Rattus norvegicus: one gene and its partner. The protein of the gene in region 1 purifies or fractionates together with the protein of each later gene. This does not show direct contact. Links are inferred from orthologs where the notes say so. Each region holds a gene or a part of one and is shown in the gene's direction. Other genes may lie near its edges. The genes, in order: Ctnna1 and Tes.

Region 1 (3,826 bases):
GAGAAACTTACTAGAAAGTAATTCTGTCTGAATTTTAATTCTCCGTGCCCCCGAGTTCATTAGGAATTCCTTGCACATCAGCACTTCTCAACCTGTGCATTGTGATACCAAAGATATTTATACCATCCACGCAGCACTGAGAAGGCCCTCTCATTGTATTGGAAACAGGCAAAGGGCATCCTCCCTCAAGACCACTCAGGACTCTTCCTTACCTTACAAAGCCACTAATGTCACCATGGGGTTACACTTCTCGTAATGTTAAGAGGGAAATGAGAAGAAACTTTCACTTGGATTTCCAGTGTTCTTAGTAGAGTTAGATTACTCGGAGCTTAGCTTTTTAATTTTAGTCACCAGTGCATGGAATGATACGTCAGATTTATGAAAATTAGTTTTTCCTCTCTATGTATATTTTCTGTTAGTCCTTAGCTTGACTATGATAGATAGGTGGAGTCAATCCAAAACAAAAGTCTCTTAAGTAATTTGCTATGTTGCTTTATAGCTCACTTTTCACCAAAATTTAGATTATTAATCAGTATCATATAGCTTGAAAGGAATGCCTTTTCATTAATTTATTATTACAATACCAGTACCCAATACAAACGTGGCTCTAAAGAGGGGGTGGCATTTATCCTTAGCACCTAGGATAAATGAGACTTATTTGTTATTCTCATCATAGAAGCTTGGCAAGTGAGAGTTTGTTCAGAAAATGCTAACATAGAAAATATTTTCCAGTTACTTGAACCTCATGACTAGCCACATTGCTTGTTGTACTTGATTCTTGAAATGATCCCTAACTCTCTAAAGCCAGGATAGATGGCTCTGAGTACTTAGCCTAATGTAGTCTTTAGAAAAGTAGAAGTTTATTGTACTAGACTCTAGACTACCCAGTGACCTAGGAAAATTGACTACTCACTCGGTACCTGTTAACTTTAGGTGATTATGAATATCTGTGGCAGCCTTTGCTGGAGACTGGGCTGATGTATCTTTTGAGTGTTTAGCAACAATGAGGCTTATTGTAGAACATTTTATAGAACAAGGCATAGTATAAATACTTAAAGGCAGATATGGTCATAGGAGGCTTAAGGGGCCTTGCCATGGTGATAAAGGCAAATAATTAGAAAATGCCCACAAAATATGTGTGCCCCATATTTAAGCTTAATGTTAGCCACAGCCCCTTGTTCCAACTTAAGTTTGAAATTGCTCACACATCCAATCTACAGGGTCCCGTTTCTGAATATGTAGCCTAACATAGCATGCTACAGGGCATTTGGTGTGTTGTAAGCTATGACCTGCAAATTCAGGTGCTAAATGAGAAAAGAATTCTAGGTAGAAAAGCAGCTGTCTTTGTACAAGGTTTGAATAAAGATGTAAACTCCCAAATTATATACTGAGATTACGTTTCAGAAGAAAGAAATGGGTCAGTGTTTTAATGTTTTATTAAGAAGTCATCTAGGGGGCTGGAGAGATGGCTCAGCAGGTAAGAATACTGGCTGCTCTTGCATATGACCCGGGTTCAATTCCCAGCACTCAGACTGAAAATTGTCTATAACTCTAGTTACAGGGGATCTGACACCTCACACTAATGGACATAAGATAAAAATTAAATTATATATGTGTATGTGTGTATATATGTATGTATGTGTATATTTCTTGTATAAAAGTAGTCATCGAGAACTGGAGAGATGGCTCATTGGTTAAGAGCACTTCCTGAGGTCCTGAGTTCAATTCCCAGCAACCACATGGTGGCTCACAACCATCTATAATGGGATCCAATGCCCTCTTCTGGTGTTTCTGAAGACAACTACAGTGTACTCATATAAATAAAAATAAATAAATCTTTTTAAAAAAGTCATTAAATAATTAACTCAGACTTTTTGAATAACTGACTTTTCTACATTACTTAATTTTTTCATAGTTTATACATGTAATACTAATCTTAAAAAGATTTATATCTGTATTCTAATATTCTGTTAGTGATATTAACAGTGGAATTTTATGTTTTCATGTAAAGGACTGTTGGAGCAGACTTTGAGTGTAGGGTAATTCCTCCGCTCTAATAGTGATCCACATTTATCAAAGACTCCTGTGTCTTTTAAGTTTCAGTAATGAGGACTAGATGCTACCAGTGTTTCCTTTGTCTTTTGTGTACTAATACGTAACCCATCCATCCCTCTTAGTGTTCTAGATGTCACTAGTTACAATGACATTAGCAGTCTCATATTCTTATAATTATGGGGTAGAAGAAATGATAAAGGATCTTTCACTTGAGACCACAGCTCAGAATTTTATAATCATAAATTGCAATTATGGAGCACATGTTCCTCCATTTAGTGACTTAATGGCCAGTAAACTGGTGGCTCTTACTTTGTGAGAAGAGCATAGTTTTGTAATCTAGAATGGTCTTTGGGGTACGAAAATGGGGAGGAAGTGTTGTATACTTAGGAGAATAGCTGATCATATACTTAACCTAGTTGGTTTGCAAAGTTCATACACACGTAGTATTGTGTTACCAATTTCATAAAATTCTTGTAATGGACTAAGATAACTTAAAGTCTCATGTTTTCCACTTAAATATGTCTATGTGGACTTTCTCTTTGGTTGGAATTCTAGTTATATGGACCTGATCAAGATGTTAAGCAGTTTTACATTGTAACATTTATTTTATGCCTTATTTAGTGTTAGGTGCTCTGTATGTGTTATCTCATTTTATTCCTCAAAATGCTAAAAGAGCTATAATATTGTTTCTGTTTTGAAAAAGGAGAAACTGAACACGAAAGTTTACAGTGAGGATACAGTAGATGGCCAGGAAAAAGTAAGCTAGGAGATTCAAGTCAAGGCTCATGCCTGCAGAGCTGTCCTTACGTACTTAGCCACGTAACCTCCGTTGTGATCACCTTTCAGCCTACATTAATGCAGATGTGTCTTGATATGAATAGAAACCTTGTAAAGACCCTTTCGATTATTTTATTTCAGGAACTGAAAGATGTGGGCCATCGTGATCAAATGGCTGCAGCTAGAGGAATCCTGCAGAAAAATGTTCCCATCCTCTACACTGCATCCCAGGCATGCCTGCAGCACCCCGATGTAGCAGCCTACAAGGCCAACCGGGACTTGATATACAAGCAGCTGCAGCAGGCCGTCACGGGGATCTCTAATGCTGCCCAGGCTACTGCATCAGATGACGCCTCCCAGCAGCAGGGTGGCGGCGGCGGCGGGGGAGAGCTGGCGTATGCTCTCAACAACTTTGATGTAAGTAATATTTGGGAGGAAGGTTTGGGCTCTTCACCAACTGCCAAAAGATAACTGGTTCCTGGGGAAATATGATCAAGACTGTGATGAAAGCCCATTTTCCAATTAAATTTGTTCTCTAAGTGGAAAGAAATTGTTATGAGTCATAAGTTTACTTTATTGTAACTTGGCTTAAAGCATTTTTTCCCCTCTCTCCTTGTGTGGCTAAACTTTAGGATTCTTCTATGCGATTTGTGTTTCCTTGCCTAGTATTTTTTTCCTTTTAATATGGTTCTTCTTGAGGCTATGAGTCTGGCTCATTCCAGCTAGGATTTTACCATCTGACAAATGTGGACCTGTGAGAGGTACAGAAGCAAAGTGAGTAGGCTTTGTCTCTGGGGAACTCATGGTCTAGTGAGAGATGTAGGTAAATCATACTGCTGTCATCTTAATCTCACCTGCCTGCCTAGGTAGATTTCTGCTTTTGTGATTTCCTTTGAGCCATGAGCACAGAAGTTTAACCACATTGAAATAGATTTGAAATTAGTTTTAATTTTCTTTAGCATAATGCTTTCATAACGGTGCCCTAGATCTCTCC
Region 2 (3,826 bases), on another chromosome or scaffold:
CCGGGGGGCCTGGGTTCTATTCTAAGCACCTACGTGGCAGCTCACAGTCATCCGTACCTCCATTCCTACGGGGTCTTTTGGCCTCTTCAGGCACCAGGGACACACATGTTACATGGCCATGTATGCAGGCAAAACACCCATACATGTAAATACTAAAATAAATAGATCTTTTAAAAAAAATGGTTTCACTACATGCTGCTAATCCACCCATGAGGCCCTTGACTTGCTATCTAGAGATTGCTGAGTGACTGTTTCCAAACATTTGTGGAACTGATCGAATACAGAGGAAATTGGCCTGTATATTTAGGTTGCCGTGTGGGACATTCAGGTGCTTAATGTGAGAGCATATTTTTATGACATCCATTGTGTTCCACAGAGCGCCTGCTGCTGCATGCTGGCCAAGAGATGGTAACGTAGATACACGGTGAAAAGATGACCATATATAGTCAGCTTATAAGCCTTCCTGGCTGATAATATCAGAAGGATGGGCTCCAGCGTTTTCTTAGTTTAAAGTTCCCTAAGCTATCGCATAGGGGAAACTCCTAGGAGAGGGGGAAAACAGTACCTGTGTATAGTTCTAAGAGTCCAGTACGTCTACAGAGAAATAAGCTTAGCTGTGTGCCCGTCTTCCGTCTTGACGCACTGCCTAATATTAAAACGAGCTGTCTTTATCTCACCAGTGCCGAAACAATGGGCTGCACATTATTTAATTCACTGTGTTAATCTGTGCAAAGATTTTGATATATATAAAAGAAGTGAAAGAGAAAACATGTTTAGACCCGGAGAAATGTCCTCAATCTAATCAGGGCATTTATGAGGTAAAAATCACCCGGAAGGAGGAGTGAGATGGGAAGAAACCCAGTTTGTCCCCATGTGCACACCAGACTCCCACTGGCCACCCAGGATTCGCATCTGTAAGGCTCTCAGGGTCCTCCAGCCAGAGAGCCCATGACGACACAGCATTATCTACCTCACATCCTGTGTTCAAATAAAAGAAAGCAGGAGGGATGGAAGGAACTGGCTCTTTGAGCTGTGTGAGGACTATTTCACAGGCAGTGCACTGCCAGGCACATTGCGATGAAAGGTATAGTCCCCAGGCAGGCCCTCTGTGGCATGTAGCTTTGAGCTTTGTGGATAAGCAAGGATCTGCTGGTGTTAGCTGGAGTCATATGTAAGATTCCTAGACGAATGGTGACCCACTGCAGTTGTGAAGCTAAACTGTATGGAACCATAAACCCTAAATGCAACACCATGCCATTTGTGTATCCGTGTGATTCTTTCTGACCTAAAGACTCCCCTCAATTTCACGTGCAATTGAATAACTGGTTTGTCTTCTTTCTTATACTAAAAATGAAAAGGCCATGTTTCATCTAATAATAAAATGATCCACAAATAATGTTACAAAACAGAAAGTAAAAAAGGAAAGCAAAGGGGTCCTCTGTCACACAGTTCTAAAGTGTCGGAAGACTAATACGAAGTACAGAAAACCAGAACATTCTACGTGAGCTATCGCACTACAGAAATTCCATGCAAAAGCAACCATTTGCATGATGCGGCTGCAGATTCAGGGGGAACTTAGAGCTTCCACATTGAATATTATTTGTATTCAGGACACCTATCTGCATTATGCAAAGAATGTCTGTTTCCCAGCCAGGAGGTAGTTGTTAGACCTGTAGATAGAGTCTCTACAATAAGAAGGTACGTAGCTGTAAAATATACAAAAAGTATATTTCAGGTCTGCAGTGGCTGTGTGATGCAGGTCACCTCATTGTCCAACAATGGCCGTCCCACTGCAGTAATCCCCAACCAAGAGACAAGTGGTACTTAAGGTTGATCAGTGCCACATGGTATTCCCTCAGCTGTTGTAAAACCAAGATCTTAGATGTTTCTCATTTTATTCAGGTCATATATAAACAATGCAAATGACTCTCCTGCGTTGAAGCTTTCCGTGAGGTGGTTTTCTGTTGTAATATTAATGGCTGCTTCTCGTTCTCTTCATGTGTATCATCAGTTAAGAATATTACGCGTATGTTTACCTCATTAGTATATTGGAGTATAACATACCCAGGATACTGAATGGTGGGCTAGGAATATACCACCTCCGTCAGTACTGTCCTGACACAATGTGCATGGTGTCCTGGGTTTCCTGCACAGCACTACCTAAATCACCCGGTATCACAGCCCTCGGGAGGCGGAGGGAGGAGAAGTATCACGAAGTTAGGTCCGGCCGAATACCTTCTCCCAGACAAAACAAAACAAAGGGTGCTGCAGGGAAGGGAGGTATTAAAGTTCATGGCATAGATCACAGATAAACGATGACTAAACTTAGGACAGAACAGAAGCTGATTAACTACACGTTATATTTATGGTGTGAACCCCTCATTCGTTTTCAAATACTGTCTGTACTTTTATTCAAATCCTTAATTATTTTGAGCATGACTTTAGTTTACTACTCTCTTGAAATTGGTGGGTGTTAACAGTCACCTGTGTCAGTGTCCTAGGCATGACACATCCTAGTGATGTTACCACTTCAGAGCGTTAATGAGTGCGGGAAAACAGTCTTAGAGATTCCTTCTAATTGTTTCGGTGAAATCTACTAAAATTTGACTGGAAACAAGTGCGGTGCTTTGGGATTTGCCATCATAACTTCCTATTTACACCCTGAGGGACATCTACGGACCGCACTCCCACCCTGTCCGTCACCTGCCATTTCTCGGCACACTCAGCATACAGGGCCCCGTCGGCACAGTGTCTCACAAAGATGTCGCTGTCTCTAACCCTCTTCTCCATTCATCCCCGAGCAGGTGTGTCAAGGGTGCCACAATGCCATCGACCCGGAAGTGCAGCGAGTGACGTACAATAACTTCAGCTGGCACGCGTCCACGGAGTGCTTCCTCTGCTCCTGCTGCAGCAAGTGCCTGATCGGGCAGAAGTTCATGCCTGTGGAAGGGATGGTTTTCTGTTCTGTGGAGTGTAAGAAGATGATGTCCTGAGTGAACACCAAGCAGTATTGAGCCATAGCTGTCTACAGTGGCCTGCATTTCATGATAAACTGCAGTTTAAAAAAAAAATAAAAAATAAAAGGAAAAAAAAAAGCTACATAACGAACCGGAAGATTTTGTCCAATATTTTTCTCTTTTTAACCATTATGAATTTTGTCTGTCTTATTTTTAAATGACTGCTTTAAGCGCATGATTTAAAAAAAACAGTAAAGAATTATAGCTTTTATTTCTGCACATTAAATATTTGAGTTGGAAGCTTGAATTTAATCAATCCTTATAACCGCATACTCCTAGTGCTAGATATATTATATATATATATATATATAAAATCACTTAAAATTAGTGTCCTGGGAGAGATGAACATTTTAACTTCCATGCTTGTCCCCCATGGGAAATGTAAAGGAAGTTACAACCGCCTGTCGAGCGGTTTGATGATGGTGACGTCAGCTCAGTGAGGAGTTCCTTGTGGCAGGCAGTGTGGTCCACGTTGGGTGTTCCAGTGCCTAAGCCTTTGCATCCCCCATGGAGGCAGAGGGGCCTCTCCCTCCTGCATCTCTCTCTGGTTACTTTACCTCTCAGTATCCTCTTTTGTCATCTAGCGACCTCCATCTGTGGCCTTGAATATTTTATATGTATGTGGTTAGGACAATATGTGCACTTTGCTCTTAGAGATTTTTTTTTTTTGTTTTTTTGTCCAGAAGATAAAAGTAGGCCATTCATTTAATTTTTTTGAAACCCAAAGAATATATAGGTTTTGTACCCAGGGAATTATAACTCATGCTGATGTCACCTTAATGCCATGCCTTGACTCAGTTGTTTGCATG

What was found.
Region 2: the proteins of Ctnna1 (region 1) and Tes purify together in Homo sapiens (affinity purification with mass spectrometry; 3 studies listed by BioGRID and IntAct, with this or other methods). This does not show direct contact. The link is inferred for Rattus norvegicus from reciprocal best matches to the Homo sapiens genes CTNNA1 and TES.

Annotation. Positions count from the first base shown.
Region 1 is NC_086036.1:27,057,857-27,061,682, forward strand, and holds part of Ctnna1 (catenin alpha-1), read left to right. Parts: intron 1-2,973; coding exon 2,974-3,249; intron 3,250-3,826. UniProt on the Homo sapiens protein: Associates with the cytoplasmic domain of a variety of cadherins. The association of catenins to cadherins produces a complex which is linked to the actin filament network, and which seems to be of primary importance for cadherins cell-adhesion properties.
Region 2 is NC_086022.1:46,365,754-46,369,579, forward strand, and holds part of Tes (testin), read left to right. Parts: intron 1-2,804; coding exon 2,805-2,993; 3' UTR 2,994-3,826. UniProt on the Homo sapiens protein: Scaffold protein that may play a role in cell adhesion, cell spreading and in the reorganization of the actin cytoskeleton. Plays a role in the regulation of cell proliferation. May act as a tumor suppressor. Inhibits tumor cell growth.